Oryctolagus cuniculus: one gene and its partner. The protein of the gene in region 2 binds, or shares a complex with, the protein of the main gene of each other region. Links are inferred from orthologs where the notes say so. Each region holds a gene or a part of one and is shown on either strand. Other genes may lie near its edges.

What was found.
Region 1: MED16 (region 2) and MED19 share a complex: the UniProt entries of both Homo sapiens proteins name them as parts of the mediator complex. The link is inferred for Oryctolagus cuniculus from reciprocal best matches to the Homo sapiens genes MED16 and MED19.

Annotation. Positions count from the first base shown.
Region 1 is NC_091432.1:14,443,486-14,451,126, reverse strand, and holds the end of MED19 (mediator of RNA polymerase II transcription subunit 19), read right to left. Parts: intron 3,699-7,641; coding exon 3,442-3,698; intron 3,303-3,441; coding exon 3,206-3,302; intron 2,636-3,205; coding exon 2,541-2,635; intron 2,409-2,540; coding exon 2,340-2,408; 3' UTR 2,028-2,339; downstream 1-2,027. UniProt on the Homo sapiens protein: Component of the Mediator complex, a coactivator involved in the regulated transcription of nearly all RNA polymerase II-dependent genes.
Region 2 is NC_091447.1:58,474,930-58,482,533, reverse strand, and holds the start of MED16 (mediator of RNA polymerase II transcription subunit 16), read left to right. Parts: upstream 1-3,476; 5' UTR 3,477-3,633; intron 3,634-4,908; 5' UTR 4,909-4,951; coding exon 4,952-5,084; intron 5,085-5,811; coding exon 5,812-5,919; intron 5,920-6,281; coding exon 6,282-6,451; intron 6,452-7,236; coding exon 7,237-7,604. Other genes in the region: R3HDM4 (R3H domain-containing protein 4), read left to right, coding at 270-355, 478-563, 630-685, 1,264-1,367. UniProt on the Homo sapiens protein: Component of the Mediator complex, a coactivator involved in the regulated transcription of nearly all RNA polymerase II-dependent genes.

The DNA.
Region 1 (7,641 bases), on a different chromosome or scaffold from region 2:
TATCTGTTACCAACTAAGGAAGTAGTAGTGCCCCAATGTTGGTGCTATGTGATCAGGAAAGAAACCTGGGGAGAGGCGAGTCTGAGTTCTTGGTTAGAAGAGGAAAGGACATTTGCAAAGTTAGTTTTCTAGGCTTATTGGCATTTAGTTTCCCCAGAAAGGGGTCACAGCTCCATGACATTGGTGGTGGTGGTAGGGGGGGGATCAGGGAAAGCATCTGGCCTCATTTGAAACACTATTAGAAAATCCCCCCCCACTTCTTGGGAGAGAGGGATTAGGGTGGCTTTCATAAATGAGCCCCTCAGAGCTTCCCCTAGCCTACAGTTAAGGTGATTTTAAAGTCCAAGGACAGGAGAGAAGAATCCAAAAAGCAATATTTTTCATCACATGCCAAAAATGGGATAGAGAGGAGTGGCAGGCCTAGGTCCCTCCGGTTGTCCCTTGGGGGTTACCCCTCAGCCCAACTTAGTATGGTGCTGGGAAGAGGGGATACCTGGGTTCTAATCTCTAAATAGGGAAGACCCCAGCCTCTGCACAGAGGCCCTTTTATTTTTTATTCTGATTAGCCATTTTAAACCGACAAAGAATAAAAAGAAATCCTGATCTAACGGCTCCCCCGACTTGTGTTATTGTGTCTGGTGACGCAAGGTGGGAAGTCATCACAAAGAACACCTCACAGACTTCTCTGATCCTGGCCTATCTTAGGCAGGACATAGTGAAATTACTTAAAGCGACAAGTCCTGTTTTAATTTGGGTGATTTAAAAATTCACACGGCTTCATGTTGCTCCTTAACATAAGGATTTTGTCTGCAAAGAAAAATCAAGATACGGAAGCCTGGTAAAAGCAGGTTGACTGGAAATTGAATTAGGTCATCTTATACCCTGTCAAAGGGGAAAGGCTCTGTGCTCATTTTATTTTTTTAAAGATTTATTTATTTGAAAGGCAGAATTAACAGGCAGAGAGGTCTTCCACCGCTGGTTCATTACCCAGATGGCCGTAATGGCTGGAGCTATGCTGATCCGAAGCCAGGGGCCAGCAGTTTCTTCTGGGTCTCCCACATGGGTGCAGGGGCCCAGGGACTTGGGCCATCTTCCACTGCTTTCCCAGGCCATAGCAGAGAGCTGGATCAGAAGTGGAGCTGCCGGGACATGAACCGGTGCCCGTATGGGATGCCAATACTGCAGGCAGTGGCTTCACCCACTACGCCACAGCGCCAGCTCCTCTGCTTTCATTTTAGATAGGCATCCTCAGACACTAATTCTCAGCAGACTGGCTAGAACCCGTTATCTTTACCATCTGCAGCTTAAGCATACAAACTCTTACTCTGAAATCCCGGAGTAAAACAAGCTGAGTGAGTGGTTTTCCATCTACTGACCTAGAACAACCTTGGTTCATGGCAATAGATTTTAACTATTCTGTGTTAAATTTAGTTTAAAGCTAGATTATAGTAGTTTGGGTTTCAGTTACCAACCATACTGCAGAAAAGTAAACTGCTTTCTTTTACACTTTGATAGTCTAGGCTGCCCTTTTTGCTGTCTTGGGAGCTTATCAGCCAAACTGTGTTATCTAAGGAATGAGGCAGGCCAAAGGATTTTATAAAGATAAAAGAAACATTTACCTTTGCTTGCCAGAGGTTCATTTCAAAACATTATAGTTTTCTGACCAAAGAGTCAATCTGGTTGAAGTATACTAAAGAAGATGGTGATTGTAGGTGCTTTTTCAGTTGACTATTCTGTTTCAACCCAAACTTGACCTAGAATCTGTTGAGGTTTAAATGGATCAGCTCTTCAGAGTGGAGCCTGAAGACCATCCAGGCACTTTGTTCCTGACATTATGGGGAGAGTATAATGAAGCTGTGCCTCTTTTGGACCATGTTTCTCAGTCATTTTGGTTGTTTCCCTGCCTGCCAATGAGATAATGCAAGGACGACTCAAATCCCCTTAAAGCTTAGGAATGACTTGTCTTAACCACTGACTTCCATAGAAAGGCACTTACCTCCCTTAACAGACAGCCACACTTGAGCCAGTTTGATAAATGCAGGTATTTTTTTTTTTAAAGAAAAACTTAACAGGTCAAGTTCTGATATTAAACAAATTGCACAAAACAGAAGAAATAGCTTCCTGGGAGAGGAAGAGATGTCCATGAGAAAGCCAACTAGGCTGAGCCTTATAAAAGGATGGCCCTTCCCTCTTCTAATGTATTCATCGCAACCAAGCAGAGCAGGAGTTGGCCTCTGCCTTGGCTGCTGGGTATTCCCAAGGCATTGGCCAAGAGCCGGGAAGGCAGCTTCTGTTAGAAGTTCAGTAGGAAAAGCCATCCTGGTAGAGTCCAGTGGTTGTCAGCGAAGGCTGCTGCTGCTGCTGGCCTGAGAGCTGCCCATACCCGGGTGGTCTGGACTGTGTCGGCTCTGGAGAAGATAAAGGAGGAGGGTAAGAACAACTAGCAACTTGCCCTGAGTTTTCACTCTTGGGTCCAGTTTGAGGCAAAGGACAGGGTGAGATATGGGGAAAAGGGCTGCAGCAACAGGCTCTACCCCTACCTTCTTTTTCTTCTTCTCTTTCTTCTTCCTTTTCCGGTCAGGATCCTCTTCTTTTTTCTTTTTCTTCTTCTTATGATCCGAATCAGATGGTGTTTCTGTAGGAAGCATTAGGGCCTGTTACCTATAATGCTCAAAATTCTCTACTTTGTGAATTTGGAAGACTACAGGACACCAAATTGGGCAAATTTTTTTTTTCTTTTTAGATTTTTAAAAGTTTATTGAAAGGCAAAGTTAGAGAGAAACAGCTCTTCCATCTGCTAGTTCACTCCCCAAACAGCCACAATGGCCAGGACTGGGCCAGGGCAAAGCCAGCCCAGAGTGTCTTCCGGGTCTCCCACACGAGTGCAGAGGCCCAAGGACTTGGCCATCTTCCACGGCCTTCCCAGATGCACTAGCAGGGAGCTGGATAGGTAGTGGAGGAGCCAGGTCTCAGCCCAGTGCCCATATGGGGTGCTGGCATCACAGGCAGGTGCCCAACTGTGTTTCTCTAAATGGCTCTGCTGCCAGAACCCCTGTCCTAAGTCCCTACTTGCCAAAGAGATCAAAGTACATTGTGGAAACTTGGGCATCCAGGGCTGTGTGAGGAATTCACTGGGTTCAACTGTGCAAAGTTGCACCAAATTCAGAAGGTCAGGTTTTCTTGTTTTAACAGGGCTGCTGCTTACCTGGGGGGACAGGATCCTGGGTCCGACTCTGTTTGTGCTTGTGCTTCTTGTTCTTCTTGGGAGGCTGAATATGCATCAGGCGACACTGTTCTGGCAACTGAAGGAAGCAAAGGAAGGTCTGGGTGAGTGGAGAAGGAAATCCTTTGCTCAGTAAGGTACAAGGGAGCAGATGTGGAGAGAGAAAACTCCCTGCCCTCGGCTTCCCCATTTGCTGCCTCTCTCAAGAGGGCACTCACCGGGCCGGTGTGGAGGCGGAAGCCAGCCAGCATGGTCCCTGTGATGGGATTGAAAGAGCCACCAAGAATAGGGGGCTTCTCGATAAGGGAGCGGAGGCTGCTGTTGTCGTGAGAGCCGGGAAGATCGATCATCCCCGGCAGGTCGGGCAGGAAGTTGCTTAGCTTCTCCTTCACCTTCTTGCCACAGAATTTGTTATAGGCTTGTTCCAGGTTGTAGTGTGTGATGAGATTGGTGCTGCCTGTCAGCTCCGTGCTGCCTAGAGAACACAGAGAAACATTAGTCCTAAAAGAGGAGTTTACAGTCACTGACCCAGAAGAAAAGTAAAGGACTATACGAACTGTGACCCAAATAAGGATGCTTTTAAGTGAGAATCATGAAATGTTGAGCTTATATTTTTTTCTCAACCAGAAGAACTGCTGATTTCATTTCCAGACTGCACTTCCCTCAAGAACAACCATTCTCATGATTTTTACCACTTTTCCCAGTTTTGACTTTGACAGAAAAAGCTTATGTTTAAGAAACAGCAAAAGTAAACAGTAACATATAAACACTAGAAGTGCAGTACTACAGAACAACAGGCACGGGAAGGAGAAAGGGCAGAAACCTAAACAGGGCAGACATGGAGGCATTCTGCTCTTCTTGGATGAGCCAGAATGATAATTTACATGGCCTGCATGCTCAACACTGTTCTCTGCTTTTCATAAAGTGTAAGTGAGAAATACTCTCTGATGTTGTGACCAGGAGAGGCCCTCACAGGTCAGCTGGGACCACAGCAAGGGCCATCTGACTCTCTGACTCAGGGGATTGAGGGTCTTTGTCAAGAACTTTGCTTTTCTTTTTTTTTTTTTTTTGGACAGGCAGTTAGTGAGAGAGAGAGAGAGAGAGACAAAGGTCTTCCTTTCCCATTGGTTCACCCCCCCAAATGGCTGCTACGGCCAGCATGCTGCGCTGATTTGAAGCCCAGAGCCAGGTGCTTCCTCTGGGTCTCCCATGTGGGTGCAGGGCCCAAGCACTTGGGCCATCCTCCACTGCCCTCCCAGGCCACAGCAGAGAGCTGGACTGGAAGAGGAGCAACCAGGACTAGAATCCGGTGCCCCAACTGGGACTAGAACCCTGTGCGCCGGCGCCGCAGGCGGAGGATTAGCCAAGTGAGCAGTGGCGCTGGCCTTTTTTTTTTTTTTTTTTAAAGATTTATTTTGGGGTCACCGCCTGCAGTGCCATCATCCCATATCGGCACTGGTTCGAGTCCCAGCTGCTCCACTTCCAATCCAGTGCTTTTCTAGGGCCTGGGAAAGCAGTGGAAGATGGCTCAAATCCTTGGGCCCCTGCACTTGTGTGGTAGACCTGGAAGCTCCTGGCTCCTGATCAGCGGAGCTCTGACTGTTGCAGGCACTTGGGGAGTGAGCCAGTAGATGATGGAAGACCTCTCTCTCTCTCTCTGCCTCTCCTTCGCTCTTTGTGTAACTCTTTAAAATCTTATTTGAAAAGATGGAATTGCAGAGAGAGGTCTTCCTTCAGCTGATTCACTCCCTAAATGGCCGCAATGGCAGGAGTTGAGCTGATCCAAAGCCAGGAGCTTCCACTGGTTCTCCCACATGGGGCAGGGGCCCAAGGAGCTGGGCCATTTCCCACTGCTTTCCCAGGCCATGGCAGAGAGCTGGATCAGAAGTGGAACAGCCAAGACTTGAACGGGCACCCTTATGGGATGCCAGCACTGCAGGTGGTAGCTTTACCCACTATGCCACAGTGTCAGCCCCTGTTTTTTCTCTTTAACAATCAAAAAACACTCATCATAGTTATATAGAAAAACAGCAAGGAGATTTTTCTAGCTACTGTTGCTTAACTTTGGTTACCAACATCTTTATTCTCCCTAATGTTACTGAGTATAATGCTTTGCAGACAAAGAAGAAATCTGTAGTTAGAAATTGGCTGGACAACTAGAATTCTAGTGCTGTTCTCCATGCCTTAGTTTCTTGTTATCTGTGGAATGCAATAATAGCTATCTTAAGTAAACTTCATTTTTTTTTCAAGATTTAAATGAAAACATACTGAAAAGTATAAATAATCTAAATTTATGGTAAGGGTGAAAATATCTAACCCACAACTTCATCTGTAATTATGATGGACACCCAGGGTACCATGAGCAAAATGATAACTGGGAAAACTCGGGCTCTGAACTGTGGGCTTCTTGAAGGCAGACAACGCTCTGTTCACGTGTTGCTAGTGCTCAGTATTAAGGTGCTTTTCCTGACTGCCCCTAGGCCTTACTGCATCCGTTTCTTTCCCGGCACTGCCAGATGTGTCAGAAGAGTAGTCTGTAACAGCAGCAGCTCTGTAACTGGCACTGCTGCTTGCTACTGCTTTCTGATGTTCCCTCCTCTCTGCCAGTTATCTTCCTCCCAGGTGGTTTTGCTGAAGGTCAGGGAGAAGGTACTGTGCTTTTTCTAAACTCTAACTTCCTGTTTTTGACTATTGCTTTGTAGTTAATTTATAAATCTTTCTCCCCAGCTCTGACTCCTCTCCTGAATGAACCTTCTTTGCAGTAAATTTCATGCAGATTCAATTTTTTTTAATTCAAATTCTTGCCCATGTCACTTATGGCTTCTTCATTTCAATCATGGCACCGCCATTCTTGAGATGTTTTAGAAAGCAGGACTTCTGAGTTCAAAAACCTTCAGGTTTCCTGTTACTCTCGGGAGAAAGCACCCGTTCCTCAGGCATCCAGGGTTATTCACATCTGACTGCATCCAACTTAGCTCTGGGCTTCATCAGCCACTACTTCCCCAAAGGTAAAATTTCTTTCTTTTTGGTAAAATTTCTGATCCATTCAAATGAGTCTCCACACTTATGAGAAAAAAAAATAGGCATTCCCTCTTATATTGTTTCCTTTTAGGAAAAATCTGTTGTTTTTTTTTTTTTTTCCCCAACCAATGTGAATTCTTCACAGTCCAGCTCAAGTGACATCTAATTTCTTGCTGTCATCATGGATACACCACATTTTGAAAACCATCAAGGAGTTAATGCTGTTCACTAAGATACTGTTAGCTGTGCAGTATTTAAGGCATGACTGCAAAGTAATGAGACTGGTATCGATGAGAAACAGTCACTTGTTTATCCACAAACCACATACTGTGCTTCCCTAACTAACTAAAATAGTCTTCTTATAAACCAAGGACCAAGGGTGGGCATTTGCAGCAGTCGTCACGACACTGCTTGGGATGCCCGTATCCCATACTAGAGTGGCTGGGTTCCGTGCCGGCTCCTTTGCTTCTGCTCCAACCTCCAGCTAGGATGCAGGCTGCCAGGCAGCAGATGACGGCAAGGACTCGATTCCTGCCAGCCACAAAGGAGACCTGGATCAAGTTCCCAACTCCTGGCTTTGGCCTGGCCCAGCCCTGGCTGTTGGGGGCATTTGGGGAGTGAACCAGCAGATGGAATGTCTCTCTGCGTCTCTCCCTGGCTTTCAAATAAAGTAAAAATTAGGAAGTAAGGCCCAGACCTGACATCTCTTTCCCCCTTTCAACACATCATTGTTCCTGCACATAGAGCATTTACCAAGAACAGATACCAAGTATCTGCCAACGGGCTGACAGAAACAAGCACAATCAGAGTAAGTGAAAAAAGCTTAAAGAAACTGCTGGTGGTTGTCTCTCTGCATTTCAAATAAAAGGAAAACTATAGTTTAAGAAAAAGCACTAGGGTCCGGCACTGTGGCATAGCAGGTAAAGCCGCAACCGGCAGTGCCGGCATCCCAAATGGGCACCAGTTTGAGTCTCAGCTGCTCCTCTTCTGATCCAGTTCTCTGCTGTGGCCTGGGAAAGCAGCAGAAGATGGCCCACGGCCTCGGGCTCTTGTACCCATGTGGGAGACCCGGAAGAAGCTCCTGGCTCCTGGCTTCGGATCAGCCCAGCCCCAGCTGTTGTGGCCATCTGGGGAGTGACCCAGAGGATGGAAGACCTCTCTCTCTCTCTCTGCCTCTCCTCTCTGTTAACTCTGATCATCTAGCAACAGTTATGTCCATTTTCTAAAAGTGAACATCTTTTAATTCAGTTTTTCCACATTTTAAAAATTATTTTATTTGAAAGGCACAGGATGAAATCTTGCATCTGCTGGCCCACTCCGCAGATGCCTGCAACAGCCGCGACTGAGTCTGGAGCTCCACACAGGTCTCCCCTGACAGCGGTAGGAATCCAGGGACG
Region 2 (7,604 bases):
CCTGGGCGTGGGCGGGGCCTGTTTGTGTGTGGGCGGGGCCTGTTTGTGTGTGGGCGGGGCCTGTTTGTGCGTGGGCGGGGCCTGTTTGTGTGTGGGTGCGGCGTGGGCGGGGCCTGTTTGTGCGTGGGTGCGGCCTGGGCGTGGGCGGGGCCTGTTTGTGCGTGGGCGGGGCCTGTTGGGTGCGGCGTGGGCGGGGCCTGTTTGTGCGTGGGCGGGCCAGGCTGGCGTGGGGGGCTGCGTCATGGCCGCCGCGCCCTGGCGTGTTGCAGAGGACCCGGCCTACACTGCCCGCGAGTGCTTCCAGCGCATCAGCCGGCGCCTGCGTGCGGTGCTCAAGCGGAGGCGCATCCCGATGGTGAGTGCGCGGCCTCTCCTGCACCTGCGCGGTGCTGGTGCCCGGGCGGCCGGGGGCGGCCCCCCCCGGGAGGGGAGGGTCAGCGTGAGCCGGGCCAGGGCTGACCCCCGTGCCGTCTGCAGGAGACGCTGGAGGCCTGGGAGGAGCGGCTGCTGCGGTTCTTCTCAGTGTCGCCGCAGGCGGTGTACACGGCCATGCTGGACGACAGGTGAGGGGGGGGCGCTGGGGCTGCCCTGCGCGCCTGGCCTCGGCCCTCACGCGGCCTCCTCCACAGCTTCGAGAGGCTGCTGCTGCACGCCGTCTGCCAGTACATGGACCTCATCTCGGCCAGTAAGTGGCCCCCCCGACCGGCCGGGGGCGGGCAGGGCACGCAGGACCTCGGAGCTCCCGGGGAGCCTGGCGCTGCGCGGTGCCGCTGCGGACACAAGCGCCCCGCGCGCCGGCGCTGCGGGAGATGGAGCCGGGCCTTAGCGGCCCCCGGGGGGGGTGTGTGTGTGTGGCGGCTCCCAGATGCGCAGGCGCCCCCTCCCGAGGGCCTGGGTCCTTATCTCACGCAGGGGGCTGGCCCCAGGTGCCCGGCTGGTCCTGCTGCCCACACCTGCCTCTCGCCCGCGGTTGCCGTGGAGACGGTTTCCACGGCAACCCCGGGCCGGCTCCTCCCCTGTCTGCGGGAGCCCCGCCTGCCTTTGTTCCCCGAGTTTGGGGGGCTTCTCTGCGGGCTCCGAGCTGTGGCCTGGGCGGGGGAGGGGGGGACTCTGGCACTGAGCTGGGGCGGGTGGGGGGGCTGGGCTGCTGCGGCGGGGGTCCCTCCTGGTTCATAGGCGAAGGCGGCCGGACACTCGTGGCCAGGCTCCGGGCTGCAGCGGCCCGTGCAGCGGCCACCCGCGAGCCCCTCTGCTCCTCCACAGGTGCCGACCTGGAGGGCAGGCGGCAGATGAGAGTGAGCAACCGGCACCTGGACTTCCTGCCCCCGGGGCTGCTCCTGTCTGCCTACCTGGAGCAGCACAGCTGATGGCGGCCCTCCGAGACCGCCTCGCCCTGTTTTTAGATTCTGTCCTGGACGCCTGCCCCTCCTGCCCTGCCCCGCCCCGCCCCGCCGCTCCTGCCCTGGGACTTGTATTTGGGCGAGGAGGCCGGGCCTGGGCACCTCCACTTCTTTCAGTTTTCTCTGGCCCTGTCGGAAGCCCTACCAGGGGAGGGAGGCTGAGTTTTATCCCTTTAATGCATTTGTCGTGATGTGCTGTAGGGTTTTAAATTTCCCTGTGGGTGGGGAAAGCCGCACCCCTGCCCCAGCCCTGGCTTGGCCGTCCCTGCCTCTCACTTGGCTGGGGGTGGGGCGCATCCCCAGGACCTGGCCCCTTGCCCCATGAGCAGTTTGTCGTGCGTGTGTGCGCACACGCGTGTCCATGCGTGTGCCCCGTGACCCAGGACAGAGGCTTTGTCCTGCGGGCCGGTTTTATGCATTTTGTCCTCCGTGTGTGTGTGTGTGTGTGTGTGTGTGTGTGTCCCCACCGCGGGCCCCCCTGCTCTCCACCCCGCTGCCCCCTCACTGAGGTCCAGGACTTCCGGCCAGAAGCCGCTGCCCTCGGTGTCCCCCGCCCCCTGCCTGGCCCCGCCCCCTGCGTGGAGCTGGCCTGCACCCCTGTCCCCCGCGTGTGGCTTGTGCTTTGGGGAATGGGAAGGGTTTAATAAATTTCTGGTGCTCTGGCCTTGGGCTGTGCAGATGCTTCTTTGGGGGGGGGCTGGGACCCCCCCCCCCCGGCCCAGCCCCTCTCAGCTGCCCGGGTTCCCGTGGACGGGGCATCAGCGGCTGGAGTGACTGCAGGTGGCCACAGACACCCCCGGCGGCCTCACTGCAGGGCTGGCTTTGGCTCCTTCCTCGTCTGAAAGTTGTATATTTATTATCATTTTACATGAAAGGCACAGTTACACGGGGCGGGGCGGGGGGATCTTCATCTAAGAACAGTGACGGCCAGGGCTGGCCCAGGCTGAAGCCAGGAGCCGGGAGCGCCACCCAGGTCTCCCCCGTGCGTGCAGGGGCCCTGGCACCTCTCCGTCACTGCCGCCTTCCCGGGCCGTTAGCAGGGAGCTGGGCTGGAAGGGGAGCAGCCGGGGTGCCCGGGGTGGCCACTCAGACCTCCAGGGACCGTCCGTGAAGCCCCCTGCCCAGTTCTCAGCCACGGCAGAGGGCCTGCTGGACCCAGGCGTAGCCCAGCAGCTGAGCCCCAGGGTAAAGCTCCTGACCTCGCTCCCTGCTATGCACACCTGGGAGGCGGCAGTGCCCGCTCGAGTGCTGGGGGCCCTGCACCCACGTGGGGAACCCGGGGCTCCTGCTTGGCCCAGCCCCGGAGTGAACCAGCCGATGGGAGATCTGTCCCCCTCTCCCCCTCTCCCCCTCCCCACGGCCCCTGCCTATCAAATAGGTAAGGGAAACAAAGTCACAGCGCTGCTGCGGGCAGAGCTGCGGCGACCGTGGCCCCGCCGGGCCCACCTGTGAGCCGTGGCGCTGCACCGCGGGAGCTCCGTGTCCCGGGGTGCGTCTGCTATGCTGTGGGTTCAGTGCCCTTTGGTCGCGGGCCGCCTTCTCACCTGCTCCGGTGTGTGCCAGAGGGCAGGAGCAGGGCGTGGGCTGCAGAGCGGACGGCGTAGACCCCCGGGACCCCGCGCTCACCGCCCAGTCACGCACACCCTGCGTGGGCATTCACGCGCGACGGCTGCGGCTCCACGCGGACCGGGCCGGCTCCTCCTGCACGCTGTTCGTGGAAAGGGGTAGCAAAATATGGAACGCTTCACGAATTTGCGTGTCATCCTTGCGCAGGGGCCATGCTAATCTTCTCTGTATCGTTCCAATTTTAGTATATGTGCTGCCGAAGCGAGCACGAACGACCGCTATCCTGGACAAGTATTTAAGGTGCCGAGAAATCTTGTCTTTACGATAAGGGTGAATTTTCTTGCGACAACTTTGTGGGGCACTCGTGCTCTTTACTGTGTTAGGACAGTATATGTTCTAATGAGGTGTAGTTTTTAATCGACGTTAGGGAAATATTTCTGTTTTATATGAGACACACGAACGGAGGCTGCCGGGAACCTAATAGGACTATGCAAATAAGCCCGGAAGCTGGGCGGAGCCGGAGCCGCCGCCGTCCCATGAGCCTGCGGGAAGCGGCGGCGCGGCTTGGGCGACTCGTTGGTCCGGGAAGATGGCGGCGCCGGAGCCGCGGCGTTAGGGCGAGTGCGGGCCGCAGCCGTGCCCTCGGCTCCACGCTCGGGCCAGCCAGGTGAGCGCGGGGCTCGTGGGAGGGCCCGGCGGCGGCGGCGGCGGCCAGCCGGCCTCGGGACGACGTCCGCGACCCCGGGGACAGCGGCGCGGGGAAGGCAGGGGCGGGGCCTCCGGGGTCAGGGGGCGGGCCCGAGCGCAAAGGCTTCTGGGCGCGCGGCCCGGCGCGACGTGGGGGAGCCCGGGCGCTGCGCGGAAATTGAGGCGAAGTCCGCGGCCGAAGCGGGGCGGCGGGACCGGGGGCGGAGCCTGAGGCGAGCTGGGGGCGGGGCTGCCTGGCTCGGGGGCGGGGCTGCCTGGCTCGGGGGCGGGGCCCGCAGACGGGGGGGGGGTCCCTGGGGTTGGGCCTGAGACCCTGGGGCTGGATGTCGGGACGGTCGCGGCGTGGGCTCGCGGGGTGCCGGGGCGGAGCTGAGGGGTCGGGGTGGGCGTGGGCTCGCGGGGTGCCTGGGGCGGAGCTGAGGGGTCGGGGTGGGCGTGGGCTCGCGGGGTGCCCGGGGCGGAGCTGAGGGGTCGGGGTGGGCGTGGGCTCGCGGGGTGCCTGGGGCGGAGCTGGGGGGTCGGGGTGGGGTGGGCGTGGGCTCGCGGGGTGCCTGGGGCGGAGCTGGGGGGTCGGGGTGGGGTGGGCTCGCGGGGTGCCTGGGGCGGAGCTGGGGGGTTGGGGTGGGCGTGGGCTCGCGGGGTGCCTGGGGCGGAGCTGGGGGGTCGGGGTGGGGTGGGCGTGGGCTCGCGGGGTGCCTGGGGCGGAGCTGGGGGGTCGGGGTGGGGTGGGCTCGCGGGGTGCCGGGGCGTGGGCTCGCGGGGTGCCGGGGCGGAGCTGAGGGGTCGGGGTGGGGTGGGCTCGCGGGTGCCTGGGGCGGAGCTGGGGGGTCGGGGTGGGGTGGGCTCGCGGGTGCCTGGGGCGGAGCTGGGGGGTCGGGGTGGGGTGGGCTAGGGTGGGCGTGGGCTCCCGGGGTGCCTGGGGCGGAGGGGTGGGCCCACGTCGATGGAGCCCCTTCTCTTTGGAGCCGCCAGGGGCGCCGGCGCTCGCCGCTGTGGTCACTCTGGGCCCTCCGCAGGCCCGGGCCCAGCCTGGGGGACCGCGCGGCCCTGGGCGCCCCCTGCCGCCCCATCCTCGCTCCCCGGACCAAGCACATCTGCGGGGTCCTGTGGAGACCTGGGGGTGCTGGCCCGCGCCCCAGCCGCCCGGCCCCTCCTGGAGTCCCCGTGTGGACGCCAGCGTCGCGGAGGACGGGCGTGGCCTCGTGTGTTTAAGCCCCCCTATGCCCCCCCCCAGCACTGGGCCGTGTCAGTGACGAGCCCCCCGGGCCTGCGGCGGGATGGACCTGGCCTACGTCTGTGAGTGGGAGAAATGGCCCAAGACCACGCACTGCCCCTCGGTGCCCCTGGCCTGCGCCTGGTCCTGCCGCAACCTCATCGCCTTCACCACAGACGTGCGGAACGAGGACCAGGGTGCGCCCCCCACTGCCCTCTCTCCCCGCATGTCCCCCACCTGTCCCCGCCCCCCGTGTCCCCGTCCTGCTCCCACCTGGCCCCGCCCCCCATGACCCCACCTGGCCCCGCCCCCCGTGTCCCCGCCCGGCCCCCACCTGTCCCCGCCCCCCGTGTCCCCGCCCGGCCCCCACCTGTCCCCGCCCCCGTGTCCCCGCCCGGCCCCCACCTGGCCCCGCCCCCCGTGTCCCCGTCCTGCCCCACCTGGCCCCGCCCCCCGTGTCCCCGTCCTGCCCCACCTGGCCCCGCCCCCCGTGTCCCCCATCCTGCCCCACCTGGCCCCGCCCCCCGTGTCCCCCATCCTGCCCCACCTGGCCCCGCCCCCCGTGTCCCCGCCCGGCTCCGCCCCTCACCTCCTCTGGAACTTGGGGCGTCCAGAGCCCCGGCCTCCCCGACGCTGGGGTCCGGCTCCACGTGGGGCTGGGGTCTTGCTGGCCCAGGCCCCGTCCCGGCCCCTGCTCTGCGTCAGTGGCCGTGCCGTCTGCCCTGCTGCCGGGTGACGCGTGCTCGGGGACCGCGGGCGCTGCTGCCCGGGCGTCGGCCCCTCTCACTCCATCTTCCCATCGCCCGGTCACTGGCCGCTCTGCCCGCCAGGGGGCAGCCTGTCCCTCACCATCGCCCTGGGGGTCCTCCACGGAGCCGCCTGGGGGTCACGGGACCCCTCGGGACTGTGTCCTTGTGCCCCCAGACCTGACCCGCACCATCCACATCCTGGACACGGAGCACCCGTGGGACGTGCACTCCATCAGCTCCGGCCACACCGAGGCCATCACCTGCCTGGAGTGGGACCAGTCAGGTGAGGGCGGGGGCGGGGCCTGGCTGCCCGAGGGGCGGAGTTACGGAGGGAGGGGGAGAGGGAGGGAGGGAGGGGGAGAGGGAGACAGGGAGGGGGGGGGTGGAGAGCGAGGGGGGGTGGTCTCCCGTCCCTGATCCACTCTGGCCAGGGCCAGACCAGTCCAGTCCAGAGCCGGGAGCCAGGCGCTTCCCCGGGGCCCCCACAGGGTGGCGCCCTCCCCAGCCTCTGTCCCAGAGCCCCCGCCGGGCCTCTGCTGCCCGCGCCAGAGCCCAGAGCCGGCGCTGCGGCGGGCGCCGGTCCCGCCTGGCCGGGTCCCCGGGCCTCTGCCCTGGCCCCCACGTCCCGCGACGTTGTCCCCGCAGGCTCCCGGCTCCTGTCGGCCGACGCCGACGGGCAGGTCAAGTGCTGGAGCATGGCTGAGCACCTGGCCAACAGCTGGGAGAGCCTGGTGGGCAGCTCGGTGGAGGGGGACCCGATCGTGGCCCTGTCCTGGCTGCACAACGGCGTGAAGCTGGCCCTGCACGTGGAGAAGGTGGGTGCTGCCCGCGCCCGCCCCAGCACCCAGGCCGCCGTCCCCAGGACCCGGCCCTCACGCTGAGCCACTGGTATCCCAGAATTCCCTGCCACTCAGGGGCTGTGCTGCGCCTGCCACGGGTGGACGGCCACGTGGTGTGAGCCGGCGCCCACGGCCACGGGTGGAGTCCAGCACAGGCTGCAGGCGGCTCAGCGACTGGGGTCGGGTGCAGCCGGGGGTCTGGGGGAGGGGCCTGGGGGAGGGGCCGGGGCAGCCGGGGGTCTGGGGGAGGGGCCGGGGCTCCCGCGTCTCTCCGGGCGTGGGCGTGATGTTAATCTGAAGGCCTGATGTGGCACTGGAGCGGCAGCAGCCCCCCACGATGTGGCTGGGCCTGAGAGGCACACGCGTGTCCCCCCTCAGCCCTGTCCGGTGCACGCGTGTCCCCCCTCAGCCCTGTCCGGCACACGCGTGTCCCCCCTCAGCCCTGTCCGTGGGCTTCCGCGGTAGGCGTGTCCCGGGCTCCCGCACAGGCAAGGCGGGGTCAGCGAGGGCGGGGCTCCGGTGGTCTGGGTGCGCGGGCAGGGGCGGGGCTCCGGTGGTCCGGGTGCTCGGGCAGGGGCAGGGCTCCGGTGGTCCGCGGGCGGGGCTCCGGTGGGGCGGGGGCGGGGCTCCGGTGGTCCGGGTGTGCGGGCAGGGGCGGGGCTCCGGTGGTCCGCGGGCAGGGCTCCGGTGGGGCGGGGGCGGGGCTCCGGTGGTCCCGGTGCGGCGCGCACGGCAGCCCGGCCCCTCCGCCTCTCCCGCAGTCGGGCGCCTCCAGCTTCGGCGAGAAGTTCTCCCGCGTCAAGTTCTCGCCGTCGCTCACGCTGTTCGGCGGCAAGCCCATGGAGGGCTGGATCGCCGTGACGGTCAGCGGCCTGGTCACCGTGTCCCTGCTCAAGCCCAGCGGGCAGGTGCTCACGTCCACCGAGAGCCTGTGCCGCCTGCGCGGCCGCGTGGCCCTGGCCGACATCGCCTTCACGGGCGGCGGCAACATCGTGGTGGCGGCGGCCGACGGCAGCAGCGCGTCCCCCGTGCAGTTCTACAAGGTGTGCGTGGGCGTGGTCAGCGAGAAGTGCCGCATCGACACGGAGATCCTGCCCTCGCTCTTCATGCGCTGCACCACGGCGCTCAG